Linked DNA regions of Elephas maximus indicus. The protein of the gene in region 4 purifies or fractionates together with the protein of the main gene of each other region. This does not show direct contact. Links are inferred from orthologs where the notes say so. Each region holds a gene or a part of one and is shown on either strand. Other genes may lie near its edges. The genes, in order: SMARCA4, HDAC2, CTNNB1 and EZH2.

Region 1 (7,429 bases), on a different chromosome or scaffold from region 4:
CATTTCACTGTGGCACAGGGGAAAAGTGGCAAAGCCAGGACTCCAACCTGGGCAGTTGGCTTCAGAGCCCTTGGTGAAGAGATATCCCTGGACCTCAGCATCTTCAGTGGCAGAATTTTGTTCACCAGACATCCACTCAGCACACTTAGGCCCTTGCAGACTCCCCATATCAGATAAACTGCTAAGTACTGGGTAACACGGGAACCGCGGAAGTAATCTAGGCTTACCTCCTAACATTCTGAGGGTCCACAAGGAGTGGCAGAGGTATGCCTCTAATTTAGATGTTCACCTAAAGAAATCGTTACTGACAGGAAAAGTGTGGAGACCATTGCACTGCCCTATACCTGATGATGTATACCTGATGATGTCACTACCCTGATCAAAAATCTCCAAGAACCATCTCTCCTGAAGGGCTTGCAAACAAAATGATTTCAGGTGGCACGTGGAGGAACACTTAGGATTTTCATAATTATTGATTTAAAGGAAATGAGAGGGAAAATATATTACCAGCGGAGCCCTGGTGGCGCAGTGGTTAAGTGACATAGCTGCTAATGAAACGGTCGGCAATTCAAATCCACCAGCAGCTCCCTGGAAACTCAATGGGGCAGTTCTACTCTGTCCTACAGGGTAGCTATGGGTTGGAATTGACTTGGCAGCAAAGGGTTTGGTTTTTGTATATATAACCAGCACTTCAAACCTGGGGTTTCTGGGATATAGGATGGTTCTAGGTTCTATTTTTAGTGTTTTAAACACTTAATTTACCAAAAAAAAAAGTGAACAACATTAAGGCCAACAAATTCGAGTGCTACTGTATGTCAGGTGCTGCAGTGTTAAGGTGCTTCCCATGTTATCTCAGGCAATCCTCAAAGCACCCATTTGAGCTGGCCTCATCATCATACTTGTTTCACAAGTGGGGGGACCTATTGTTCAGTGCCTTACTCAAAACCAGCTAGGATTTCGAGGACTGGATGCAAATTCAGCAGGTCTGATTCCAGAACAAGCACTTCTCATCACCACCCCATACTGTCCACACATGGCATCCTACACCCCTATTCCAGGGGGTGCTGAGATTTGGGAAACACTGGCCTGGAAAGTCAAAAGACCAACAACAGCAGCTAACCCTTACCGCTTACAACCCACCCCCAGTCCTAAGCCAAGCACTTCACACACATATTCATTCAATTCCCCCAAAGACCCACTAGTTCACTTCAAAAATGTTCACGGGGGGGGCCTACTGTGTGCCAGGTCCAGGGTATACTGCACAGAACCAGGCAGACATGGCCCCTGTTCTGATGGGACTCGAGTAGGATGGACGTGTAACTACAAATTGGGATAACTGCTACAATGGAAAGGATCAACGTGATGTATCAGTGTGTAGCAGAAGGGAACAATGACCAGTCCGGGTGGTCAGGGAAGGTGTCCCTGAAGTGGCATCCCTGCCAGTCAAAACACAAGCCTGGACATCTTCCCTGATCTTGCATGAATGCCACCTCTTCCAATGCAAGCCTCCCTAATCTCTGGTTCCCCCAACTCCCCTGCACTTCCACTGTGTCCCCCTCACAGGGCACATGTGAATGACAGGCCACGGAGGGTTGATCCCTGCACACCCCATCCCACCCACTTTTGCTACATCTACTTATACCTGTTTCTCCTACAAAACTGGAGAGACTTCTTGAGGGCAGCCAAACCCAAAACATGGGGCACCCAGTAGAGATTCAACAAATATTTGTTGAGCAATGAAGAAGGAGATCAGACCATACAATAAGAATAGTGCTTCATACCTGCCAGGAACCATTTTACAGGCTTTCACCAGCCCCATCTGTGAAATTATCCCCATTTCACAAACAAGGAGCCTAAAAGGCCCAGAGAGGTTAAGCCCCTTGCCTAAGGTCACACAGCTAAATGACCAACAGCGCCAGGAATCAAACTTGAATCCAGTCTGTCAATTCAAACTGAAAGCTTGTTTCAAATTCCTGGGAAGCGCCTCTTAACACTTATATCCTTTCTACTCTCCCGAAAGATCACTCATAAAAAATTACAATTGGTATGTCTGAGATCAGCACGAAACACTTGCCTGAAAAGTCTACGTTTTAAATAACTGCCTTAATCTGGAAAATAAATTGGGAGAGTGGGCAAAGGATACAAAGCAAAAACAATGTTTCAACAGCAAATCTTTCCCTCCATCCTCTCCACCCCCCCCCCCCGCCCGCTTGCCGCCGACCTCTCCCCTCACTTCAGGGCAGTGTTTTGAAGTCACTACCTGCAAGAAATTGGGGGAGTTATTTACGTTTCCTTGAAAGTCTGGAATGACGTGCTATTTATAAAATTTTAGGTCGGTTTTCTGATTACCAAAAGGGCTGCTAACGCTCATGTCCAGGCGACAATGGGCACATGTGTGTTTTTTCATACTCAGCCCCAACCACAGCCTCGCCAAAAAGGCAACATTCAGGTCGGACCCGCTACAACGTAGCCAGAAAAGCCCCGACGCCTAGCTATTGTTGCAGCCTCCCCAGAGAACGCGACACCGGACGGACCCCCGGCCCGTCGAAGGGGAGGCGAGCTTTGTCCGACGACCCCGGCGAGAGCGCGCGCGGGGGGCGCGCGGCCTCCACGAGGCCCGGGCCCCCCTTCCCTGGGCCCGCCCGCCCGCGGATACTGTAGTCACCGCGGCCTCCCTACACTGTGGCCTTCCCCGCGCGCGCGGCGGCGGGCCCGGGCTTCTTGACCCTCGGGCGCCGCCGTACCCCGGCCCCGCTCCGGGCGCCGGCGGCCCCCTCCCCCCTCGGCGCCCCGGCTCCATTCAAACCGTCTTCCCAAGGCCCGCGCCGCATTCCCCTCGCAGCCCGCGTTCCTTACCCGAACTGCCGGCGGCGTTGCCTTCCCGGCGCCGCCCCCGCCCCTCCGCGCGGGGCCGGGGGCACAGTGGGCGTCTCGCCTCTCTTCACGAAACAAAGAAACAGCCGCCGCCGAGCGAAGGGAAGCCTTGAGCGCGCGCCCGCCTCGGCCGCCCCCCCACCGCCCGCGCCCCCGCTGCGCGCGCGTGCGCGCCGACTTCCCTCCCCCCACGGACGGCCTCTTGAGTTCCGCTGGCGCCCGGCCTCGTGCGCGCGCTCGCCGGCCCTTCCACCCCTCGCGCGCGTGCGCGCCCGCGCGAGAGCAAGGGGAGGTGGGCGGGACCCAGAAGGAGCACGCGCGCGCGACGCACCTCCCAGCTCGGTCCGGAATGGCCCTGCGCCTGCGCATAGGCATCTTCCTCCTCCGCACGACGCGCGTCCACACGCCGCTGAGCATGCGCGGAGTGGGTGTCACTGCGGCGGCAGGTTGGGGGATGGGGCAGGGTGGTCGCGGGGTGTGCGGGCAGGGGCTGGCCGAGGGACCCTGAGGTTCGGATACGAACACTCGGAGCCGTGCATGAGGGCGAGAGACAGCCCAACAGGGGCCGGGGCTGCGCAGAGTCGTCCGCGGGCCAGTGACAGGCCTGGGAACCGCTTTCGTCCCTGGCCCGGGGCGGCGGGGCCTGTTCTGCGAGGCCAGACGGGCTCGGCTGTGATCGCCTTCTCTGCAACACCCACCGAGTACCATTAATTAATTAGTTCAGCAGATATTTATAGAGCTGCTACTGCGTCCCAGGCGCTGGTGCTGTAGTACCGAACAGACCTTTGAAATCCCAGCCGGTGTGGAGCTGAGGGTCTAGTGTGGGGGGCGAGGCAGACAAGAAAAAGATAAGTAAAATATGTTGTAGGACGGAGACATGCAGTGTCGTGGAAACTTTAAATAGGGCAAGCTGGGAAGGTCTCGCTGCGAAGACGACTTCTCACTAAACGTGACAGCAGTGAGGGACAGAGCTTGTTCCTACCAAAGGGACTGGCAAGTGGGAAGGCCTTAGGACTCCAGGGCTCTTATCTGTATTTTTAAAATACTTTCAGCGCCACCTCATTCGGCCCCTAACCGGACAAGAGCTCACCAAGGTCAAGTCCCACAACCTGTAGTACTCGGCCTGGGCTGCTCCTCCCACTGCTTCGCCCAGGCCTGCTCTTCCTCATTTTTTAGGTTTCAGCTGACTTTCAGCACTTCAGACCTGCCTTCTTTTTGATCACTGCCTACTTTTCCCTTCCTTCATATTTCATGGATAGTCTCTTTTATCATCTGTCTTCTGCATCTCAATTTAAATGGCAAAGATGTAACCAGTTGTAGTCACTAGCGAATACCCAACATCTAGCTTGGTGCTCTCCTCCCCAACATAATAGAAGAAAAAAAAAAAAAAACCCTGTTGCCGTGGGGTAGATTCCGAGTCATAGCAACCCTATAAGACAGAGCAGAACTGACCCATAGGGCTTCCGATAGTGGATTCAAACCGTGGATCTTTTGGTTAGCAGCTGACCTATTAACACTGCGCCACCAGGGCCCCATACCTCGACATAATAGACACTTTAAAAATTGTATTGAAAGAATAATAGAGACTGTCTCGAGTGTATTTGTGCCAGGTGTCGTACCTACATCAGCCCAAGGTGAGTGACTTGCAGTTTCTAGCAGAAGGTGAGATCTCATGCTGGAGTCCAAAAGACCTGGATTTAAAACCTGACTCCAGTATTATTAGCTGGGTGATACCAGGCAAGTTCCCTTGTCCCATCTACATAACAATTTCTTCACCTGGAAAATGGGAACAATAATGGCATCCACCTCACAGGCTGCTTATAGCAAGTAATGTTGAGTAATGCACAGAAAATGGACAAGTAGGTCTGAACCTCAGCCTCTCTCATTCAAGTAGTATTTGTTAAGTTCCCTCAACATGTCAAGCACTGAGCTGGTCACAGGCCTACAGTGACTTACCAAGGGTTCCTACCCACGGAGCACACAGTCCACATGTTAGTCAACTGTCTCCCATGCTGGTTACTAATATGTGATAGAAAAGAAAAGTCCCCAGGATGCAACGAGATCATAACGGGGTCTTCCTGGATTGAGGAGTCACAGAAACCTCTCTGAGGAAATGGTATTGATGCCAAGAAGGATGAGCAAGAGCAGGGAGAAGGAGGGCACTAGGTAGAGGAACAGGACCCTGAAAAGAATAAGAGCATGGGAACAGAAAAAGACCTCTGTGGCTGGAAGAAATGGTGATGGGGGGCAAGGGGGCGTGGTCAGCAGCAGTCATACCAGGCAGAGCATTGAGGGCTGAGGTGAGGATTCTTAACTTTTTCGGTAGCACAGAGGGAACCAGTTGAATGGCTTTAATCAGGAGAATCCCGTGACTGACTGCTGGGCAGAGATTAGGCTGGAGGAAAAGGAGAGGCAGTGAGAGTCCATTAAGGCTATTGGAGTGGCCCAGGTTGAGAGGATGGCAGCTTAAACTAGAGTGAAGATGGTTGAGATGGAGAGGGGTGGAGGAAATTGGAGGCAGAATGGATAAACCTTGAACGACTGGACCTGATGGGTGAAGGAGAAGGGGGGCTAAGAGTGAGACTTGGGCTTTCTGTGTAGCTGGGACAATGGAGACCTAGAAACCCTGGAAGGGAAGGCTCTAGAATCCTGTTTTGGTTTAGGGACAAGATGCCTATAGAAAACAATTCTATAGACCAGTGATTCTGGGCTATACCTTGGAGTCCCTGGGGGAACTTTAAACAAAGCTGATGCCTTTAGCTCTTATATTTAGGTCTGTAATCCCTTGCAAGTTAATGTTTATGTATGGTATGAGGTAAGGCCAGAAGTTCAATGTTTTCCATAGAGGTAGCCAACCATTCTAACGCCTAGTGTTCCCTACTGTCCTTTTCCCCCATTAAATTACCTTGTTACTTTTGTCAAAAAAAAAAATCACTTGACCATTTAAGTATGGGTCTGTTTCTGGACTATTTATTGATCTATATGTCGACCCTTAAGCCCACACCACGCTGTCTTCAATAATAAGTCTTGAAATGAGGTAGGGTAAGTTTTCCAGCTTTGTTCTTTTTTAAAAAAAAAATATTTTGACAAAGTCCTTTGCATTTCTACCATTTAGAATTTTAGAATCGGCTTGTCAATATCTACCCAAAAACCTGATGAGATTTGTATTAAGATTGCATTGAATCTGCAGGCCAATTTAGAGAGAATTACAGTTTTAACAATATTACGTCTTCCGATCAATGAACATGGTCTATCTCTCCATTTACTTAGGGCTTCTGTAATTTCCCTTAAACTTGCTCTAGTCAAGTCTTTCCTGCTCCACTGAAGTAACTCTTGTCAATGTCACAGGGACCTTCCCATTGCTGAATCCAGTGGTTAATTCTCATCTTCGCCTTCCTTTACCTCTCAGCAACACTTGACCCGTTCCTTCTTCCTTGGAACAACTTCCCCACTTAGTTTCCAGAACACCACACTCTCCTGGTTTTCTTCCCACCTCATTGTCGGCTCCTTCTCAGTCTCCTGTGCAGCTTCCTCCTTGTCACACTAAACTCTTAATAGTAAACTGCCCAAGAATGCAGATCTTGGTCCTCTATCTACATTCACCCCCTTGGCTTCCAGGCATGTGACTTTACAAAACCACCTACATGCCGATGTCTTCCAAGTGTGTACCTCCTGCCTTGACCTTTCCCTTACACTTCATAAAGCTATCTCCCAGACACCACTGCTTGGATGTTTAATAGGTGTTAAAATTTAGGTTCCATCATGTCTCTCTTTTGCTCAGAACCCTCCAGTGGCTTTCTTCTTCCCTAGAGTGAAAGACGAAGTTAGTCCTCACAGTGACATACAGACCCTTTGCTCCCTCCCTGATAAACGATTCCATTTATATAACATTCTTGAAATGACAACATTTAAAAATTGAGGACAGGTTAGTGGTTGCCAAGAGGGAAGTGGGTGTGGTTATAAAGAGCATGTCGTGGATTGAATTGTGTCCCCCAAAATTATCTGTCAACCTGGCTAGGTCCTGATTCCCAGTATTGTACGATAATCTACCATCGTCATCTGATGTGATTTCCCTATGTTTCGTAAATCCTATCACTATGACGTAAAGAGATGGATTAGTGGCAGTTATACTGAAGAGATCTACAAGAGTAGATAGTGTCTTAGGCTAATCTGTTTTCAGATATAAAAGAGAGAAGCAAGTAGAGAGACACGGGGACCTCATACTACCAAGAAAGCAGCCAGGAGCAGAGCGTGTCCTTTGGACCTGAGATTCCTGTGCTGAAATGCTCCCAGACCAAGGGAACACTGATGCATCACAAGGACCTTCCTCCAGAGCTGACAGGGAAAGAAAGCCTTCCCCTGGAGCCAGCGCCCTGAATTTGGACTTACAGCCTACCGGAGTGTGAGAGAATAAATTTCTGTTTGTTAAAGCCACCCACTTCTGGTATTTCTGTTATAGCAGCACTTACTGATGAAGATCAAAGACCACAGATTTCAGTATGGATTACACCTCAACATAAAAGAAAACAGAAATCATCACAACTGGACCAATAAG
Region 2 (7,490 bases), on a different chromosome or scaffold from region 4:
ATAAGTTAAAACTAGATAAATTAGGCTAGAAGATTATTCAGGCTTATTACTACTGATAACTCCCCACCCACAATTCTATACACGTTCATACTTTCAGGTCATATAATTCTTTGGAGCGGAAGCTGTTTTACTTGTATACTATTTCTTTATAATTTAAAGAAAAGAAAAAAGTATTATTTACTACCTTTATAAGTTGACTAAATAGAGTTTTTTGGTAATGAAAATGTAAGCTTCTGGAATTGTGCCATTTAGCATACGCTCATATTAATAATTAGCATAATGGCTTTTATCCGATTAAAAAAAACTGCAAAATATTGTATCAGACACATACACACAAAAGGAACTCTTTTCCACAAATATTTAAAGTGTAAGCAACTAAATATCCCCTTCTAAAAATGAAGAGTCACGTAAGAGCCACAGACAAAAGACAGATGACCCACCAAAGATTTTTCCAAACTCTGTCAGTTAAACACCTGGTTGTTGGCCTTTCAGGTAAAGCAGTTGAATGATCTACAATAAAGTATTAAGCCACAATCATGAGACTCTCAGATATTCTCAGCCTATCAAGTCTGCACCCTGCCCTAGGACCCATCTTGTCCCTGCTCCTTCAACAAAGGTTCATCACAGATGGACCCAGGAACAAACAGCTGTTCAGAAAACTGCTACTCAAGTGAACCTCCTGGTTCTACAGTTCAAGCCCGGTGACCAGAAGTCGTAAGTCAGCTTGCTCCATCAGAGCCCACCACTGCCAACAGTAACTAACAGCTGCAGGAGGAGCCTTACCTCAGGTTCTCTGTCCTTTTAAAGTTTTCCCCATTCCCCAAAGCCTTGAGAAGAACATCAGAAACAAAATCATTTAAAAATTAACTTACTTTTCAATTTGACCAGGGAAGGCAGAGCCTGGATTTCACCAGTAACCTAAATATGCATGATTCTTAAACAACAAACTTTCAGAAATGTAATTTGTGATAAAATTAAAAGGTACTCCCATCTCCACCCCTACGACATTGCATAATTTCACATCAATTTATGTTACACATGTATGCAATCCTCTCAACAATTTTTTTTTAAATATGGCTGTTTCTGTTTTGTACTACCCACCATAAAACCAACTAGCTACCATACATCAGACAATTTAGATTTTTGATATCAGATCTTTCTGCAGACAACAAAGGAGGTTATTTTACATTGAACAGGCATAAAGACTACTTAATCCTTGCTCACTGAAGATACATGATATGGCTCTTTTCAAGTTAAGGTCAGATTTATTCTCACCTAATCCTCTAATTTTTTTTTTTTTTTAATCCTCTAGGGTCTTTTCCAACTGTAAGATTTTGTGATTTACAATACACCAAATGGAGGAAGCAGCATCCAAAATTTGTGCCTCACACAAATCAGGAAGGGTTTTCTGGCGATTGAGGCTCACCTCTGTTAAATTTTGAAATTTCTTCTCAAGCGTCATGTACTAGAAACTATCAAGTTAACGTTTTTGCTTAAATCTGTAAAATAAGTTGCTACTCCATTTAGTATACTTTAGAGTGACACAGGAAATAGGATTCAGAAACTACTGAATTATCCAACTTTTATAATTCACTGTACTGTGAGTTCCAGTTTACCTGATGAAAAATTTTAGTACTTCTGCACTACTCCTCCAAGTGTTCCTACACCAGGATTCCTTTCACCTAGGACAGCCTTCTCAAGCCAGATGCCAAAGCTCTCCAAAACCCCAAAGCACGGTATAATTCTTGATCGAACAAAGAGCAACAAAGAGTGGGTGGGAACCACCTCTCACAGAGGCAAGCCAGGACCCAACGAGGCTGAGCTACAACGCAAGCATTAACAGCTCCACGTTTCCCCACCACCTCCTCTTATTTCCCGGGAAGGCTAACTGCCTCAAACTCGAAAACCCTAATTTTTCCTGCAGAAGTGGAGCCCTTTCATTGGAATCCCGCGAAAGTGGCGCTCAAAGAGCCCAGTGAACAAAGGAGAGGGATTGAGCCCACGCATAACACAGGTGGGAGTGTGCCACAAGCCGTACTAGGGGCCACATCCTCACTCACTGCTCTTCAGGAGCAACCCCCGGGTCGGCGGGTCGGGGGGGAGGCTGGAGGAGGAGAAAGGAGAAGACGCACCGGGCTGACACCGCGGGGGCAAGAGGGGAGGTTGGGGAGGGGAGGGGAAGGCGGGCGGGGACTGCAGACAGAGAGGGGGCTGGAGGGGCGGGGCTCCCGCGGCCGCAGGGCTTTGTGTGCAGTCAGGACCGGGGTAGACAGTTTGACCTGGGGGGGACGGGAGAGGGATCGGGTGCAGACGGCCAGAGCAAGGGACCCCAAACCTCCGCTCCCACGAGTGGCAAGCGTGAGAGGCGCGAGGGAGGGCTGTCCCCTTCCCCACTACCACTAAGCCGCGGTAGGCCGGCGCCATCCGCAGAAGCAGCCACCTTCGGGGCAGTGGGCCGCACTGCCAGAGAAAGGGGAGCAGAAGGGAAGTGGGGCGTCCCTCCAGCTCCCGTCCGCGGGGCCGGTCGCGGCGGAGAGATCTCCCACTGGCAGCGCCAGGTCGGGAACGGGTTAAGATTCAGTCAAACGTCTGTCCCTCCTCCTTCACACCCCCAGCACCGGCGCCCACTGGCGACCGCGGCCACCGTGCCGGGCCTGGCGCGGCCCGGACTTGCAGCCTCAGCTCTGCCCGCCCACCCTCCCGGCCTCTCACCATCGTAGTAGTAGCAGACTTTCTTTTTGCCGCCTCCCTGACTGTACGCCATGGGCTCCTCAGCCACCGCCGCCTCCGGGCACCGGCTCCTCCTCTTGCTGCTGCCGCCGCGGCTCGGCGGATAGAGAACAGAGCAGGGGCGAAGGTGGAGGTGGCAGTCCCTCAGGGAAGGGCAGGCCGGAGGGAGGATAGGAGGGGGTGTCGGGAGGGGTCGGTACCACCCAGCCGAGGGGCCAGGCACTCCGAGAAGGGGGTGGCAGAGGCGCCAACTAGCGACACTGGGGAGGGGGCGGAGGCAGCTAAACCACCTCCGGGGGCCGTGGGGAGGTGGGACGCGTCCACTGTGGCCTCTAGAGGGGAGCAAGGAGCACGATTAGAGAAAGATGGTCCACTCACTCTTACGTTAAGAGCCCTAACCCTGAACAAACTATTTGCGGAGGGCGGAGCCAAGTACCGTCACGAAACGAGGAAAAAAAGGCAGGCTTTTTTTCCGCAGGTGGATAAAGGGAGCCTGGAGACAGGTTGCCGTTCTCCCCCTCGGATCTTAGCACAGTCGTTGCGCCTGTCCCGAGCCTGCGCAGTCGCCGCCTTCCCAACCGTAGCCTTCGCCGCCTAGACCCCCTCGGTGTTGTCCCACGCCGCTGCCCTCCCCCACTGTCGCGAAGCTCCCGCTCGAGCCGACCACGTGCCGTGAGCCCGGCGGGAAGAGAAGTGCTGCCCACGGCCGATGTACTTGGTCCTCTTGATTTCCTCATTTGTTCATTCATTCTTTCATTTTTTGCTGTTAATTGGTCTGAGGTACTGGCCTGTTAAGAATCCAATAAAAATGTCAAGAACAGTGTACTGGCTGGGTTTGAATAAGCATTTAGGGAACGTTTACGTGTAAGGCACGGTTCTAAGCAGTTGTGTTTATATTTCATCTCTGCCTATAATAACCAAGAACCAAATCCACTGCCATCAAGTCCATTCCAGTAGGACAGAGTAGAACTGCCACATAGGGTTTCTAAGTCTTTAAACTTTACGGAAGCGGGCTGCCACTTCTTTCTCCTGCAGAGCAGCTGGTGGGTTCCATGAGATCACCAACCTTTCGGTTAGCAGCTGAGGGCTTTAACCACTGCGCCACCAATAAAACAAACCAAACCTGTTACCGTCAGTTGATTTCAACTCCTAGCGACGCTATAGAACAGGGTAGAACCGCCCCATAGGGTTTCCGAGGAGTGGCTGGTGGATTTGAACTGTGACTTTTTGTTTAGCAGCTGAAGGCTTAACCACCGTGCCACTAGGGCTTTGCTCCACCAATAGATACATGTTATATCATTATAGGAACCCTGGTGGTGCAGTGGTTAAAGTGCTCGGCTGCCAACCTAATTGTCTATGTTCTCATTGAACTCACCAGCTGCTCTGCCGGAGAAAGATACGGCAGTCCACTTCAGTAAAAATTTCAGCCTTGAAAACACTATGGGGCAATTGTACTCTGTCCTATAGAGTCACTATGACACTAAAAAAAAAAAAGTGACACTAGGAACCGACTTAAAGACAATGGGTTTGGTTTTGGGCTTATTATATCATTTAAGACTCCCAACAACGCTAGGATGTAAATACTATTTCTGTTATTTAAGACGGAGGCAGATTAAGGAACCTGATCCTCACAACTGCTAACTGGTGGTCTGGGGATTTGGACTCAGGTAGTTGCCCTGGTGGTGCAGTGGAAAGAGCTCAGGTTGCTTACCCAAAGAGTGGGCAGCTCACATTAACCAGCTGCTCCTTGGAAACCCTATGGGGCAGTTCTACTCTGTCCTTTAGGGTTGCTATGAGTCAGAATTGACTGGGCAGCAAGGGGGTTGGTTTTTCGTTTTTTGTGTTTTTTGGGGGGGGGGGTTAGTTTAGTTTTTCACCAAGGAGCCCTGGTGATGCAAAGGATAAACGCTTGGCTGATGACCAAAAGGTTGGCAGTTCAAATCTCCAGCTCTGCTAGAGAAAGACCTGGCATTTTTCCGGAGAAAGACCTGATGGTTTGCGTCTGTAAAGATTACAACCAAGAAAATGCTATGGGCCAGTTCTACTCTATCCCATGGGGTCGCTATGAGTCAGAATCCACTTGATGACACCCAACAACAGTCTTTCTCTAAGATCCACATCCCCTAGCTGCTACACTATACCAATTCTGTTGCTGGCTGGATACTGGAAGATTGGAGCAGCAACCTAAGAGAAAGGACTTTACAAACTCATATAAGTTATAAATACCTCTGTCCCCAGGTCATTAAGTTAACATGTATCAGGGACCTACTCTAAAAGAGCCCCGTATAACACTCTTATCCCAACTATATCATTTGCAATTGTCCCCACAATGCACACTCCCTCCCACACACCCTTTAACTGAAGCAGGAGCTATTTGGAGCTACTATCAAAAACTTGCATTTTGTTTTGCTATATGACTTGAAACTTCCCAGGGTATTCATCTGTACAGCAGCAATTTTCCTGGGCCTCACACACAAGAGGTTTAGTAAAAGTAAGTCCAAGGTAGACCTTCTCCCCACCCTCAATCTTTATTTTTAACGAGTACCACAGGTGCCTGATGCCCATGATACAGGAACCACAGTGTGAGAAACATTGGCTTAGAGGTAAAGTCAATTACATGGCATTGACTTTCTAAGTGTTGCTCTAACGAGTCCAAACTCAATTTGGTAGATTCTGAGAACAGAATAAGTTAATTTAGTGAAAACTAATGTTCTCCCCCATAGGCAACCTCATGAAGTCTGAAATGAGACTCCACTTCTTTCAGATCCCCTCTCCTAAGTTTATTCTCTGTGCCCTTTACATGCTCCCTAGGGCCCTGTAGCCCCTCTAGCTCAACGTTCACCGTGTTATAGTGTCCATGTTGCCCACTTATCAGAATGTCCCTTTGGAACAGAACTTTGTAAGAAGAGGGACTGTGTTTGTCTTGTTCATAATTACATTTCTAATGCCTGTGTGACTTTGGGCAAGTCACTTAAACTTCTTTTTTTCCACTCTGAATTGCCTTATCTGTAAAATGATAGCATTACTTGGAGAGTAATTTTTTATATGAATATTGACAGATTCAAATAAGAATTAATATGGAGACATTTTAAACTGTAAAGAAGTATGTGAATATAAGGGGCAACTATGATTATTCTTATAGTACAAATTATTATAATAATAATTTTTGTCATTTACATTCACAACACCTAGCCTTGACCTTTTGAGAAGAGCCTGAACATGAATCTTGATTGGTTAAGGACAGTAATAGTTATCTAGTGCTGCTTTAACAAATACCACAAGTGGATGGCATAACAAAGGGAAGTTTATTTTCTCACAGTAAAGTAGGTTAAAAGTCCAAACTCGGGGTGTCAGCTCCAGGCGAAAGCTTTCACTGTCCTCCTCTCTCAGCCTTCTCATCAATCTTCCCCTGGACTAGAAGCTTCTCTGCGCAGGAACCCTGTTTCCAAAGGACATGCTCTGCTCCTGGCACAGCTTTCTTAGTGGTATGAGGCCCTCTGTCTCTCTGCTTACTTCTTTTATATCTCAAGAGATTGCCTCAAGACACAATCCAGTCTTGTAGGTTGAGTCCTGCCTCAGAAACACAACTGCTGCCCATCCTCCCTCATTAACATCATAGAGGCAGGATTTACTATATATAGGAAAATCACACACTACCGGAGAATCATGGCCCAGCCAAATTGGTATACAAATTCTTGGAACAAAATTCAATCCACGACACGGACCTTGCTATATTATTTGTTATCTAACTATTTGAAACAAATAGAAGCAAATGAATTTACCTTTGGAATCAGTACTGCAGCAGTTCGATCCAGTGATAAGAGCTGGCCATGAGAATTATGCTCCTAAATATCTATACTGAACTTTAGATCATGAGAACTAAGGTCAAAAGAAGGATCCATTATTGGAACCCTTTGATAAACTCCAAACTTCATTTCCCATATTGAAACATCTCCATCAACCCTTTTTCCATTAGAAAACAGAAAGTTTAAGATGATATGCAATAAAAGAAAACAAGCTGAGAGTGTGAATAATTGATAGAATTCATAATTGAAGATTGTCTTCATCCTTAAACTATTTTGCTTTAGTTCCTGCTCTGTCTATATAAACTTATTTTTTCAGTCTCAAAGATGTTTGGTGCTTTGAGCTTATTCAGTAAAATGATCTGTTAAACCTAAAGGGATTATTTAAACCAGGACTGTTTAAAAACAGATTGCCTGAGCTTTCCCTAAAAATTGTACCCTATTACCAACTATAGCAGATAGTTTAATTTTTAGTTGCTATAAAAGAGCTTTTCATATAATCTTGTTTCTACTCTAAAGAAATTTAGATTTCTTAGTGTTAAATTCTGTGCAGTAATTCTATAAAGTAATACAGAAGGTAGAGGAGCATAGCGACTGATGCTTGGGTGTTGTTACAAACTAAAACAGTCTCAAGCTGAATTCTGATCACTTCAGAGGCACGGTGACTATTTGGAAACCCTGGTGGTGTAGTGGTTAAAAGCTATAGCTGCTAACCAAAAGTCGGCAGTTCAATACACCAGGTGCTCCCTGGAAACTCTGTGGCGCAGTTCTACTCTGTCCTCTAAGGCCACTACAAGTTGAAATCAGCTTGACAGCAACAGGTTTTTTGGTTTACTACAAGTTGTAACTCATAAACCTGAACAGCACGCCAAACATGAGAGATTATGATGTGATTTGAACTGTGCCTTTGTTTAACAAAATTTAATGATTATCCATTTACAGAAAACAATATATATT
Region 3 (7,727 bases), on a different chromosome or scaffold from region 4:
AGCCCCCAACGTGCACTATAATTTTCTATTTCTGAACTGATTTGTAAGAGAATAAGGGTAACTGAAATTAGCAAAGCATCACCCCTCACAAAGATGGCGCGTGCAGAATTTGCGAAAGCGGAAAAGAAGGTGAAGGAGAAGCAAAAAAGGGACGGCATACTGCAGTCTGGGGTGGTGAGTGTTTGGATGGGGGTGGGGAAAATGCTGCAGTTTTCATGAAATAATAAGGTGGGGGAACAAAGGCATACAAAGAGTAGGTTTTTCATTGTTTGTAAAATATAAACACAGATGAATTCTGTCTTTGGTTGGTTCATGCTTTTCACTCTGCACAGCAGGGATGTTCTTAAGAAGTTGCCCTCTGCGAAATTTCACTAAATGGGAACCGTGGACCCTGCATGATGGGATTATAATCACACCAGCCACTCCTTTTACATAATTTTTTGTTTAAGATCCAGTAAGACTCCCTGTTTTTACTATATATAAAGCAATAGACATGTCTATGTCGATAAACTGAGGATTTGCGTCCCCATAGCCTAGCGCAAGCTAAAACAAAAACTGGTGATATCGTATCTACAAATCTCAATGGACTCAAAAACAATATGAAAATTTTTAGCTGACAAGAACATGTCTGCTGCCTGCAGTCCTTGCAACAGCTCACCATGTTGCCTACTAACCGAAAGATCAAAAATTATCGATTTCATGGCGCTGCGTGCTCTGGAAAGAAAAGCTACTTTAAAATTTGCATTGTTTAAGAAATGAGTTAAAAGAATCTTTTTTTTTTTTTTTTTCCTGAACACTTTGGAATGTGAAAATGGCTTGTTGTTTTAATCTTATCCATGATTTACCATAATTCTATTATTTTTAGCAGCTGGAGTCCAGAAATCATTTTTTTCGATGAATTTAGGATTTTGCCGCAGTATACATCTGCAGTCCCAGAATCCTCCGGTAAGTTAATCCTTCTTGCGATGGGAAACGCCTTTAACCTTCCTGTGAATGAAGTATCTGCAACCATTTTGAAATTTTTATTAGAGGTGTGTGCGTGTGTGTGTTGGGAGGTAGACGGTGCCTCCAAAGCATGATTTCTTAGGGATGTGGCGGTATTTGTATTAGTACTTAGCAACATGGAGAAACAGATACCTTTGTGTTCTTTGAATATCATGGGTGATGTCTCCATTTCTCGTCCTTCACACTTTCTATGGTTGCCATTAAAATGTACTTCCTCAGTATGGCAAGGAATGTCCTGCCAAACCAGCGAAGGCCTCCGGAACACAGAACTGCGAGCAGAAGGGTGTTCTTGGCATAACTGAAGAGGCCATGAACATAACGCTACTGCCACCACCACCACCACCACCACCATCGTGTTCCACCACCTTCACGGCCCCTCATTCGATCTGAAATGCACACCAGACGCAAGCTTTCCACACTGACTCTCCGCCAAATCTGCCCAGTGGGTTCCCAGATTACTTGTGTGTGCGAGAATAGCCAACCATGTAGTCTGACAAGAGGTATTTACAACTACTTAGCCTGTTGAGCTGGAACGAAATCAAAAGATAACACTGAACCCTGAGATGATGTATTGCAAATCAAAAATAGTCCATAAATAGCCCACTTGACGAACTGCTAAATGAAAAACTGACCCTAACTATTGTCTGGTGTTTTCAGGTTGTCATAAATACTTTTAATGTGCCTTCCTAGAGAGTGGGGATTTACTGTTTTTAAAAGCACGGACTATTATTTAGTCTTTTTGTTGGGGGGGGGGATTCCTTTTAAGGGGATTCCTTTTAAGGGAATTCGGATGTAGAGTCCAGAGACCACACCCTGATTTCACAGCTCTTGTTTTCTGTTTCTATTTCCAAGTAGTGCTGATTAACATTTATAATTATTAATTTAAAGGATCTAATACAAAAGATCCAGTCATCTGTTTCCTTCTTGCTAAACGAACCTCATTGTCTTAGGTGCTCAATAAGTGTTTAATTAATAGATTTGATAGAGTTAACCACCCAAAAAGTGAACTGGCCTTCTTCACAATGCTGACTCGATAAATGCTTCTGTCCCAAGTGCAAAAACAATCTCTGGGCATTTATTCCTTTGCCTAAAGGTGATTCAAAGGTATGTGTTTTAGCAAAGGGATGCTTTACGTTCGATTCTGTGTAGTCACTGCTTGATCTGCCAATGGTCGAATATCACAATAATACCTCCACTGCTAAACCAGCTGGAGACGTGCTGGGTTTCTAGGGACACTGGCTGAAATTTAGAACCATTTGTCTGTTGCAGTCTCACAGAACGAATTAATTTATCTCAAACTCAAGTGGGCTGGCTCTACAAGGAAAAGGTGATAATCAAGGGTTTTTTTTTTTTTTTTATGAAATGTCTTGCTCAAAGTCAATTTTTAAAAATCATTTTTTACAAAATCACTTATTTCACCAACTCATTAGGTATTTCGATACTTGTCCTTTGGTTTAATGATAGTATTTATCTTCATTGCACAGAAGTCATCTCATATTTTTGATGAGACAATTGGAACAATTTGTTTTATGAGAGGAGGAAATAAGTAATCGGAGAAATTTGTTAAATTCAACTGATTTGTTTTAATGCTAGTCACCCAATAACTCTTCAGTATACTTACATCTGACGGGAAAAACTGCTTGCTGCATTGCTGCAAATCTTATCATTTCCTCTAAAAACATGTGTTTGCTTAAAGTATCAACAGATTAAAAACATTAATTCTATATTTAGAGAAAAATGCTTGGATTATTTTGGCACCTGAATACAGACATACAAATTTAAGAGTATTTTTATCCTTTAGATTGTCTAATGATGCAAATATTTCTTACGCCAGTGTTAACACCATGCCTTATTCAGCAAAAATAAACTGAGCATAGAAAAAGCAAACATCTGCTAAAAAAAACCCTCTAAATACTGTTTAATCTGTCATCTGATTTTAAGACATATGACTGTAATCAAATCAACCCTAAATTCTTTAACTCTGTACAGAAGAGTTAAAATTGGGGATTAATACCTGGAAATACCATTTATACTTCTGAGTTTATATTAGAAATATTGCTTTGATTAAATACCTTTTTCTGTTCCAATTGTCTAAATTACGACCAGCTGAACTGACCACAAGCATCAGCTACACTTAATTCCACAGATTACTAGCAAAACTGCATATGATAAAGTCATTCTGGACAATAGATCTCACTGAGTATCATCTTAGGGCTTGGACTTTTTCATTGCAGGAACCCACATGGGCTATGGCGATAGACGACAGTTATCATAACTGTATATAATAAAGTATTTTTTAAAACTGCAGAACGGAGTTTAACCTACTGGCCCTGAAGTATTAGCTATGCTAAAACTACCAGTGCTACTCCTTGAGTGAACCAGTAAGGCTAGGTTTCCTGCCTGTACCTATGTATAAACGCTTCTTGTTTGCATGCATTAATTATAATTCTGGTATAAAAGCCCCAACATAACTTTCACTGTTGCTTTTTGTACTCTCTTCATTGCTTTAGATGAAAAATAAGCATAAAGCAATAGACTAGAGAAAGTGAGTCGATAATAATTGTTTCAGCTTTCACAAATGCCAATCTTGCTGGATTACAATGGGGACATTTCCAAGGGAGATGAAGACCCAACTTCAGCCTATCAAAACGAATTAGAAAATGTTTTTGTCGTTGAAGAAAATTAGCTTAAAAAAAAAATTAGAGGCTGTCTAGTCGACAACTCCTTCCGTAAACAACATACTTCGCTTTCTCATGTAACACCGTTGAAATACACCTCCCACAAAGAAAAATCTCCACAAATAAATCTACCGGTACTTAGCACAGCGGAACCAGATAAAATTGGAATCTATAAGAATTAACCTAACTGACTGTCTCTAGCTAATCTATCTCCATTAGTCATTTGTTCACAGTAGGCACTCATAAGGACTTGTTGAATTGCAGACCTGGCGCACAATCTAGAGCGCAGCCTCCCGTAGTGGGATGGAAGGCGGCTCGGCCCGGTCGCTGCCATCCGGATTCAGGCTGCGCAGCCGGTCGGGATGCGAGATCCACGATCCTGACGGTGGGGGGCTTTGGGGTGGTGTGCAGCTGGGCTACGAGCCTGGCCTGGCAGGGAGTGTGTGGCACAGACCACAACCGGAGTCCCCGACGGACAGCGGGGCAGCGGGGTCGGCGGCGGCGACGCCCAGGCAGAGCTCGAAGGCAGGCGGGCCCCGACCCCGGTGCCCGCGCCGCCACCCCTCGGCTTCGAACTTCCACCCTCCGGGGACCCGGCTCTGCCCGCTCCGCACAGCTCCCGAGGGTCGGGGCCCAGGGGCCGCCTCGGGCGGGCGGCGAAAAGCGCGCGGCGAGCCCGGCGTCGGCTCTCATGCTCCGGTGGGCGCGCAGGGCGGGGGCGCCGGGCTCGGGACAGTGGGAGACCTCGGTGCCGCCCTGCCCCCGCCCCAGCACGCAGGAACTCCGGCCTCTCCGCCTCAGGCCATAACGCCCCCACGGGACGGCCTCCGCTCCCGCGCGGAGAGGCAACTACCGGCCTGCACCCTAAAGATGGTCTGGGAGGGCGCGCGCCCCGCCCGGGCCCGGGGCCCTGGGGACGCGGCGGGCGGCCAGGCTGCCAGGGACTACTTTCCACCGCCCGCCCGCGCCCCGCCCCTTGTCCTCGCGTGGCGGAATGCTCCGCCAGCGGCGGCAGGATACAGCGCTGCTGCGCCCCTTATAAGAGCTCCTTGTGAGGCGCCATTTTAAGCCTCTCGGTCTGTGGCAGCTGCGCTAGCCCGGCCCTGGGAGCGGAGAGCGAGGGGAGGCGGAGACGGAAACTGTGGAAGGGCCAAGGAGCAGCTTCAGTCCCCGCCGAGCCGCCACCGCAGGCCGAGGACTACTGGACTCCCGCGGCGGGCGGAGCCTGTTCCCCTGAGGTGCTGGACGCTCCTTTCCTTACCCTTCCGGGGCTGCTCCTGCTCCCTCTTCGGAGCCAAACTTCGTCGCGGGCGCGCGGTCCCGGCAGCCGGAGGGGACCCGGGCCCGTTGCAGCCCGGAGGCCCGAGGCGGGGGGCGCGGGCTGGGGCGCCTTGGAGGCGGCGGCGACGGGCCGCGCCCGGTGGACGGAGGGCGGCGGCCGGGCCCCGATTCCGCTCGCGCTGCCCCTCGGCGGTCCGGGGGGCGCCGCTTGGGGGAGGAGGGGGCGCCGCGGGGGGCGCGTCCAGGAGCCCGGATGGCCGGCGGGTTGGGGGGGCCGTGGTTTCCGTCCGGGGCTCCGGCCGCGGTCGAGTTTGGGGGAGGGACCCTGGGCCTCGGGATGCGCCGGGGCTGGGGTGGGGGGCGGGGGTGGGGCTCCGCCTTCCCAGCCCGAGTCGAGAGTTGGGGTTCGGGCGCTGGGGAAGGGGCGCTACGCTAGGTCGCTCCTGCGGTGGGGACACAGCCAGTGGGCTTTCTAGAGTCCCCTTTTCTTTCCCAAGGAGAATAAGAAAATTATTATTTTCTAATGCCTGTGCGAGTTTGGCACTGGCGCTTGTTAAAATTGAAGCAACTTTAAGCCTTAGAGGAACAAAACTCTTCAGTGCAGCCGGTGCGATGCGCCAGCAGGGTTTGCCCGTGTAAGATTTGTGTCTTGCACCTAAATTTTCTTGTGTCGGGCAGGTGAATGATAGCCAGCGAGGACGCGTGGGATATTACTGGGAGTCTTGGGTTTATGTAGGTGGGTGTGAGACCCAGTGAAATGGGGGGGGGGGGAGTCCGAGGGCGACGGGCTGACTGTTAGTGTAAAGTGAAGTGTGGGACTTTGCCTCTGTTTTGAGAAATCTGTTCGTAAAAGCATTTTATTCCAATAGTTTTATAATTAAACTATTTTTAGAGCACATTTTTCCCCCCCAGCAGAGAGAATTTTTCCCCAGCTACGAAATTGGCCAAGTGTAATTCAAGCACGGCAACTCCTTTCAGTGTTTTGTCTGGGGGAAAGGCTTTTTTTTTTGAACAGAGACTTTTCGGAGTTCCCACAGCCCGCTTCTCAATCGGCTAAGCTCGAAAGCTTTGGCAGTTTGTTGTAGTTGTTTCCTTCGTTTTCTGCTCGCTTTTGGAGGCAGCATTGTCTCATACTTTGTATCTTCCAGACATCTGTGGTCTCCCCTCCCCCTGAGTTTGTGAGTGGTGAATGAAGAGAGACTGGGCTGCTGGTATGCAGAGGTCGGCAAAAGGAAATCGAGGAGTGGTTTTAGTGAAATGAGAGCTTTGTATCATGAATAGCGGTGGCTTAGACTAGACAGCGACTTGAAGAGACGGCAGCGTTTCTTTTGATAAAGTCTAGGCTAATCTTTTTCAGATTGCTAAGTTAGAAAAGTATTTTGCCTGGAATTTAGGAAGCCATTTCACTCTTTGTCCCTTGGTGAACATTTCATACCTTCAGAGAAGTTTTCTCCTTGCCTTGTCTTCATCCTGAGAAAGTAATGTTAGATAAAACTTGAAATGCTAATTAAGGTCTGCTGCTATTTACTTCCTGCTTAAATGAGTGACCAAGATGTGTTGTTTGGAATCTTTTCTTTTAAGTGTGATCTAAGTCTGCTGCTACATTTGTTTTACTTCTACATTTAAACTCACAAAACCTCTGGATTAAAAAAAAACAGTACCATCAATGTTTATTTGAGACTCTCCTTTCAGACTAGACAAAATTTGATTAATTTGCACCCAATATTCATTAATTTGACCTAGTCTTTGTTCTGAAGGCCATGTACAAGGACAAGGCCCTAAAGTGATTGCAACAGTAACTGAAGAACTTGAAAAACTTGAAGAAGACTGTTCCATAGGATTAAAGGAATGCAGAGACTATTCAGGTTTGAAGTCCTTGAGGGAGAAATAAAAAAACACTGCGCTAAAAGTCTCAGTGTAGCACGTAACTTAGAGTCCTTGTGGCTTCCTAGGCCTGAGAATTTTTCAGAGGCCAGAACGGTCATTTTCGATAGTTGTAAGGGAAAACTAACACTTTTTTTTCCCACAAGGTAGCTAATAAAAAATGAAGCATTTAACAATATAGAGGTGTCAAGAAGCAGTCAAGAGTTTTTTTTTTTAACCTGATTACTTCATTTACCAAGATTAATTTGTAGAAAAATTTATATTCAAGTATTAAAACTTATTGAACTTTGAATTGAGCTTTCTACTGCTGTTAGTGATGATTGGAGTAAAAATTGTCGTAAATGGAGTTCCATATGCTTGTTTTCATAAATCCTGTTATCCAGGATAGAAGGGAAAACATGAAGTAGGCAAGTTTCCCCAAATGTATTTTGAGATGTGATGTTTAGAAAAACTATCTGTGGATATCTTTTTTATTTGTTTAGTTGCGGGGGGAGGGGCATGACAAGTCGAATGTTGAAACTAGGGCCATGGAGAAATCTAAAGTTTGAATATCATTCTTACATGGTTATCAGTAGCAGTGAAATTAAACACCAGAAATGGACTGTGTAAGTATATTTATCTAGATGAAACTTGTATTATTGAAATGAAACAGTGCATCTGTCCAGTTATGAGTCTATTTCCCTTTCCTGGCTTAGTAGTTGCTGATAATAATTATAGATGAGTAGGTGGTAAATTTTAAGTCTGTTCTTTGAGCTTGGCTACAAGCACGCTTGACTGCCAACTCAAGGTGGAAAGAATGAAGGCTATTAGAGCAAGACAAACTTCCGGTGAAAGTATTGGCAACTATTTTCTAGTGCTGTATGTTGACTTGTAACATTA
Region 4 (7,410 bases):
GATGTGCAGGGGACACTGCGGAGTTAACTGTGACAGCTCAAGGGACCCTGCTGTGAACAGGACTCTGGTGGGAATGTGCCATTCAAATTAAAGCTTACTTGACTTTAGGGAAAAGCCACCCAGGGTGGGTGTGTGCCCCTCACGGGAGCCAATCTCACCTTGACCTCATCCGCCCGCCGGAACCGCTTGAGCTGCCGCAGCCGCATGTACTCGGACTTTACGCGCTTCCGCCAGCACACAGGCCCCTTCTCAGACTTCTTCCCGGTCTGGCCCATGATCACTGCAGAAGCAACGGTTTCATGATAAAATCACTCATCTGGCCAGCCTAGGCTGACTGCTGAGGCTGTAATCCCAGCAGTGACAATCAATGACCACACACCATACCACCCATGTTTGCAAGACACTCTGCAGTTACACCTTGAAGATATCCCACAAAACCAGCTGCCTTCCAGGGTGTGACAGCATGACAGGAACCAGAGGGCACTGCCTCCACAGTTCTTACTCTCTGAGAGCCTTGTTTCTGTGGGAAAGAAATGCCTGAGCACATTCTAAGTTCTTGTCACTAAACTGGCTGTTACAGAAGGCAGAACTGACTAGTCAGAGGGGTCAACAGAAAGAAGTGGTGATAGGTCCAGTCACTGTGGGTGGAAACCCACCCGTGCAGCACACAGCAAGCTTGCATCCCAGCACTCCCCACCTGAGCCCCTTCCTCTACAAGGGGCTCCCGCCAGCAGAGTGGCCGAGAGATGCAACAAACCCTGAGGTGTGGCCCTCGGCTCGCTCCCAGGTGGGCCCCACTTCCTGGGGTCCCAGCACCCTTGGAGCCCACTTAGGTCCAAGTCACATCCTTTTCTATCACATTTCCTCCAAAAGCACAGAGGTCACATGACATGTTGAGATGAGATGGGCAGTTCCCGGCAGAGCTTTATTATAGGCACACCAAGGACCTCTGCTCCAGTGTCATCCAGCACTGAGAGGGTGGGGTACACATGGAGCAGCTGCTGGCTGCAGGGCAGGAGCCAGGGAGAGAGCAGCTATGGGGAGCTGCTGGCAGAGGTCTCTAGGCCAGAGACTGCAGTGAGAGAAGAATGAATGAGTCCAGGGGTTACTTAGGAGATAACGTCACCAGGACGTCGTGATGATTTAAAATGGAAAGTGAGAGAGGAAGTAGCTTTCTGGATGGAATAACTAACCAGGGATGCATGCACCTCTGCACATAACACCCTCAGGCATACGGCACTGCCTGAGGAGAAGCTTCAGAGGAAGAAAAAGGGTCCTGAGGCCAGTGGTAACTTCTACAATACTCCATCCACAACCACATGGTGATGCAAAAGCAGAAGGTGGTTTATTCAGAGCTGAAAGAAAGGGAGACAAAGAATGGCATTTTCTCGAGCATGTAATAAATGACTATTATGAAGCAGGTAACAGGTGTACAAAGGTGAATGAGACACACCTTGCCCTTACAGAGTTTACACTCTAGCCAAGAAGGCATAAAGAAGCAAATGCAGTCTGGTACGCGCTCCAGACACAAAAGTACCTATAAGGTCAGAGTTAGGAAGAGTGGGGAAGAAGGATGCGCACTTGAGAAGGACTGCAGGCAGACAGGACAAGGGAGCCTTAAAGATGAGCTGGATTTCTCTGAGGTATGAGGGACTCTATGGTCTTTTTCAATCACCTCCTGTGCATGTGAAAGCTGGACAATGAGAAAGGAAGACAGAAGAAGAACTGATGCATTTGAACTGTTGTTTTGCCAAAGAATACTGAATATACTGTGGACTGTCGGATAAATAAACCCATCTTAGAAGAAATACAGCCAGAATGCTCCTTAGAAGCGAGGATGGTCATCAGGAAAGACCAATCACTAGAAAAGGACATCATATTTGATAAAATAGAGGGTCCATAAAATGAGGGAAACCTTCAGTGAGATGGACTGATACACAACAGCCACCAACAATGGACTCAAACATACCAACAATCATGAAGATGGTACAAAAATGGGCAACATTTCCTTATTATACACAACGTCACCATGAGTCACGGGTAACTCAAGGCAACTAACAACAAAGGCATGAGCTCGAGAAAGCTGGGCGTGGGGCAGGTGAAGGCAGGGAGCTGGCCGGAAGACACTGTCAACAGGAGCAAGGGTGGGGGAAAGAGGAGGAGACAGCTCTGAGGATGGGCAGGGGCGACAATGAGGGCTGAAGAAGGTCACAGGCCCCAAGGACGGCCTTCCTGAGGGGGCTGGCTGGGCAAATCTGTGGGTTGTTAGAACGGAGAAGACTAACTCAAGCAGAAAATGAGGTTAGCAAGGGAAGGTGAAGCAGGACAAAAAGACGTCAGTTAGGAAGAAACACGTCAATAGTTCAGTGACGTGTTTGCTTTCATACATGCTAGCTTAGTTAACAGATGAGCGTAAGTATTTCTACGCAAAATTTTTCAGACCTTTCAGCACTCCAAAGGCCTAGAAACTAGAAGGGAAAGGAATCAGCTAAAAATGAGAGCCCACTGGATCATGACAACTAGTCTACCTGCTGCCTTGGCCACTTCCTGGTCCTTGGAGCTGGCGCCCCTGCGCCATAAAACCTGCAGGACTGTGGTGCTCAGTTAATGCACTGTGGCGTGGGTACTGCGGCAACATGCCTTTTAAGACGCACATTTTATGCCCTGGTGAAGAGACAGCACTGTATTGTTTGAGCACTGCTGCCCTCCTTCCAAGCAAGGTCTCTAATAAAGCTTGCCATGACAAGATTCTCCCCTCTTACCGAAGATGCCACCTGAGCCAGACAGGATGCCAGGTCGACACGACACTTCAGAACTGACTCCAGAACAAACATCTCTGTAACAGGGCATACACGTTGCTGTGTATATTCTCAATAACAAAATAAATAACATTTAGGGAAAAAAGGAGGGCATATACCATAAGTTCTATGCTTATAAATTTCTCAACACTCTTCCAAAGAAGTACATAGGTTAAGACTTTAACCTACAGGATGGTCTGGTAACTGCAAAGTGGGGGGGGGGGGGGGGCGGGGGGGGATAAATATATATACACGTGCGCACACACACACACTATATACACACACACACTATACATACACACACATACACACATATATACACACACACTATATACACACACTACATACATACACACACATACACACTATATATGCACACACTATATACACACACACACATATATACACGTACACACACATACACACACACATACACACAATATATACGCACACACTATATACATATACGCATACTATATACACACACATATATAGACGTACACAATATATATATATACACACATTATATACACACACATACATGCATATATATACACACACTATACACACACACACATATACACACACATATATGCTAGTTCATTCAGGAGAAACTATCAAAATGTAAGGATCGTGACCTCTGAATTACAAGCTAAGAAATAAATCTAAGTGTTCAGACTGTTCTTTCAAAGTATGGGGATAGGTAGGCAGATCCTTGAAAAGATGAGAAAATTTAAGGCACCACTGAGAAGGATGTTTTACAGAAAACAAACGCCCACCCGCCTTCACAGCACTCTATGTCTGTCTATGAATGTCTAGCTTTCCCGTTTGTCAGCGGGTCGGCTCCCACTCTTAAGTTCCTCAATAGAAGAATCGTTTTTATTCACTTGTAAAACCCCTGAGCCTGGCTACGTGCCTGGCAAACAGTAGACTTAAAGACAAATAAAAACAAAAAACACTGAAATGGATGACTTGCAGGCTTGTCTCCCACTGGGCCCAGGTATGGAAGGGAGGCTGCCTGCCCGCACTTGAGGCAGAAATGTCCCGTGAATCTCAGGGACGGAATATGGGCCCTGTGGCCTCACCTACCCTTACCGATGAATACAACTCGAGCACAAATCCTGGCACCTCTGGGATTTACATTTGATAAGAAAGCTGGTATTTCCTCAAAGTCCTCATCCAAAAACAGGGATAGCACCACCTACCCTCAAGGCTTGTCAGATACACCAAATGAGAGCCACACACACACATACCTGGCCCTTCAGCTGGCCCACAGCAGGTCCTCCCACGACAGGGCAGAGCTGGGCTCAAGTGGGCCTTCTGACTCCATTTCTGTGCTCGAGGATTAAAGCTCCAAATATGATGTAGCGGCAAAGGCAACATTTATTTAAACACTGGCTACTACGTGGATGGGGACTTGTGGATACAACCAGTTTTTTGTTTTGTTCTGTCTTTAATTTCTCGTTGGAAAGATGTTCTAGTTTCATAGGTGAAATGACATTATCCAGGATATGAAAACAGCTTCCTCATTCAAAACAAATCATAACTCCAGTGATTGGAACGAGACTCTACCTGTGAGTGAAAATTCAAAAGCCAAACCAGACTATGGCCAGGGACGATCAAACCCTTCACAGAATACAGTACAGCCTTCCATGACTGCTGTTCTACAGGTTAAATAAAACTCAGGAGAGACCACAAAGTCCAGCCTGTTTTATGAATCAAACCAATCTCAGAAAGATCACCCACACGGGCAGGCCCTTTAACCTCACTGCCCATAAAAGTAAACACAAGAGTGTTTGCTTCAACTCACCCCTCATCAGGGACTCACACAGCTATCCTCCAAGGGTCAGGAACATCTGAGGAGGCGACTCAGCTGACCAAGGACACCATCTCCCTGGAGACAGTGATAGGTCCATCACAAGGACTCTTAGGAATGGTCTCTACTAGATTTGAACATGGAAACATGCAGCCCAAGGAACTGCTGGGGGCATCTTGTAACCACAGAAGGAGAGTCTGCAAAGAGCAGAGTCAACAACAGAAAAAGAGAAAGAAAGAAACCACCGCAGGCACACTGTGCACGCCCTGAGCCAGGCCAGCCCTGCCAAGTCACCTCCCCATTCCTTCAGTTACAATAGTCAACAAACTACCTTTGTTTGTCTAAACCAGTCTGGGTCAGGCTTTCTACCACCTGAAGTGCAGGGGCTTCTGGCTAAGGGACATCCAGGGCTGAGATTTCATGCCCTGCAGCAGCAGGTCCTGGCAGCAGGTTTCCTCTTCACCAGCGACATTCTTGAAGACTAGTGATGCAGGGCTGACTTACTCCCCACTAGGAGACAAGCCTCTCTACCTCTCAGATGACCAGGCTGCACCTGCCCTGAGTCCAGCTGAGTCCAGCTCTGGTCTACCTAGGAGAAGCCTTACCTAGGAAGACTCCCTGTCCTTCACTCAGTTGCTAAAGGCCAAGAAACCAAAAACTGTCCCCTAGCCGGCACTTCAGTGCCCTTGGCTACCTTTCTTAAAGGCCCTTTACTCCTAAAAAGGATTTGCTAAACCAAGGTAACATTCCAGTTGTTCCTACTTGTCCAAAGAAAACCAAGTGATAACTACAAGTACCGCTCATCCTTCCTAACTAGTCTAATAGCACTAACTTCACTCTCAATTGAACAGACAGCTAAAGAAGGTCAAATCCAAACCCAACAAAATTTAAGCAATATGATTTCAATATCCTCTCCTAACTAAAATGCTGGTTTCCTTTACACCAAAACCAGTTGCCATCAAGTTGACCCCAACTCATGGACACCTCATGTGTCTGAAAATAGAACTGTGCCCACAGGGTTTTCAATGGTTGATTTTTCAGAAGTAGATCCCCAGATCTTTCTTCCAAAGGACCTCTGGGTGGACTCAGACCTCCAACCTTCTGGTTAACAGCCAAGCACGTTAACCGTTTACACCACTCGGGGAGTCAAAATACACATTCTTTGTAGCATAACTTGAGCTCTATTTCAAGCAAACAAATATTCTCCAAACAGGCAAAATTACTAAGGAGGGGCCACAACTTATCTTTTCCAGCCTGTTCGAGCAACATTTCTGCCATCTACAAAAAAAAACTACAAGTCCCTAATTCACTCTAGAAGGCATTTCCAACCTTTTCTAACCCATAAGTACTTTTTATGGTAACATACAATACCACTGCTGTTGTTAGTAGTCATCAAGACGATTCCAACTTGGGGCTTTAAAATTAAATTTTGCCAATTCTGCTTACACTGATTAAATAATTTGAATACTGAAGTACTGTAGATCAGAATTGATGAACAGGGACACTCACGCTGCAATTTTTTCCACCCAATATATGACAGGTCAGCATACTTCAAAATTAAGTTCCTCTTAACAGAATCTTTTATAAAATCCATGAAGATGGATTCTACTTTTCCCATTTAACAAATGATACATGGTGTTTCCTTTTAAATAATTAAAATGCATGATTTTCAAAATTCAAAAGTAAAATGCTTGGTTTGGAGACTGTACACATACTAGGCACAGGGAAGGTTCTCAGTAACTGGCTATTACTTGTAAACACACTGAAGATACTCATGTATCTGCAGATAGAACATAGAGAATTTCACTATGTGCTACTGGATCAAAAACACACAAGGGTGGCTTTAATGATGTTTGAAATTCAATGTTTAGCAAAAATCAATCGTCTTATTTTCTTAAATCTTTGTTTTGCTTATAAGCATTCCTCAGCGAGTAACATACGTAAAGATGGTCTTTAGTATTAAAAATTAAGACACTAAAATGAATAGGTCATGATGTTTTGTCTTTTCAACACTTAAAAATTTACTGAAGACAGGTTGATACGCCATCTATTAATTTAGCTCATATAATACAATTAACGGATAAAGATCATCTTGAAAAAATTTGCAGGATCTTTTTTATACTCCTCATTTACTTTTTTCCATTATCAAAGTTTCTCAAGCTTTCTAACTTTAATCAACAATCTAGTATGGATGTAAATACAAATTTTATAAGCCAATGACAGCAGAGTTCACTGGGTGATACACAGAGTATACAGCCATGCAAGCTTCACTTAATTAAAAAAAAAAAAATTTTTTTTATATAGATGCTCGCAACTCTAAAGAGTTTTGTTTTGCTGGGAGAGGGGGACACTTAATTTATGACTTGCTGCTAAAGAGATCGCCCAAGTTTTCAGTGCTCTGGTCCTAAAACTATGTCACAATTATTTCCTTAGTATCTGTTGTTGTGTGCCACCAAGTCCATTTCGACTCACAGTGAGCCCATAGGACTTCCTTAGGGTCTCCTAGGCTGTAATCTTTACGGGAGTAGGCCGCCAGGTCTTTTCTCCAGAGGAGCCACGGTCAAATTGCCAACCTTTCACTTAGCAGTTGGCCACGGAATCACTGCACCACCAGAGCTCCATTTATTAGTATATAAAAATTGACTATGCAAAGGCATTAGACTGTGTGGATCATAACAAATTATGGATAACACGGCAGAAAATTGGAATTCCAGAACACTTAACTGTGCTCATGAGGAACTTGTACATAGTTCAAAAGGTAATTATTCAAACAGAACAAGGGGATACTGCATGGTT

What was found.
Region 1: the proteins of EZH2 (region 4) and SMARCA4 purify together in Homo sapiens (affinity purification with mass spectrometry; 4 studies listed by BioGRID, with this or other methods). This does not show direct contact. The link is inferred for Elephas maximus indicus from reciprocal best matches to the Homo sapiens genes EZH2 and SMARCA4.
Region 2: the proteins of EZH2 (region 4) and HDAC2 purify together in Homo sapiens (affinity purification with western blotting; 5 studies listed by BioGRID, with this or other methods). This does not show direct contact. The link is inferred for Elephas maximus indicus from reciprocal best matches to the Homo sapiens genes EZH2 and HDAC2.
Region 3: the proteins of EZH2 (region 4) and CTNNB1 purify together in Homo sapiens (affinity purification with western blotting; 4 studies listed by BioGRID, with this or other methods). This does not show direct contact. The link is inferred for Elephas maximus indicus from reciprocal best matches to the Homo sapiens genes EZH2 and CTNNB1.

Annotation. Positions count from the first base shown.
Region 1 is NC_064821.1:28,999,804-29,007,232, reverse strand, and holds the start of SMARCA4 (transcription activator BRG1), read right to left. Parts: upstream 3,010-7,429; 5' UTR 2,857-3,009; intron 1-2,856. UniProt on the Homo sapiens protein: ATPase involved in transcriptional activation and repression of select genes by chromatin remodeling (alteration of DNA-nucleosome topology).
Region 2 is NC_064819.1:180,220,098-180,227,587, forward strand, and holds the start of HDAC2 (histone deacetylase 2), read right to left. Parts: upstream 3,013-7,490; 5' UTR 2,765-3,012; coding exon 2,713-2,764; intron 1-2,712. UniProt on the Homo sapiens protein: Histone deacetylase that catalyzes the deacetylation of lysine residues on the N-terminal part of the core histones (H2A, H2B, H3 and H4).
Region 3 is NC_064838.1:45,680,685-45,688,411, forward strand, and holds the start of CTNNB1 (catenin beta-1), read left to right. Parts: upstream 1-4,726; 5' UTR 4,727-4,921; intron 4,922-7,727. UniProt on the Homo sapiens protein: Key downstream component of the canonical Wnt signaling pathway.
Region 4 is NC_064826.1:1,338,039-1,345,448, reverse strand, and holds the start of EZH2 (histone-lysine N-methyltransferase EZH2), read right to left. Parts: upstream 3,006-7,410; 5' UTR 2,893-3,005; coding exon 2,763-2,892; intron 281-2,762; coding exon 159-280; intron 1-158. UniProt on the Homo sapiens protein: Polycomb group (PcG) protein. Catalytic subunit of the PRC2/EED-EZH2 complex, which methylates 'Lys-9' (H3K9me) and 'Lys-27' (H3K27me) of histone H3, leading to transcriptional repression of the affected target gene.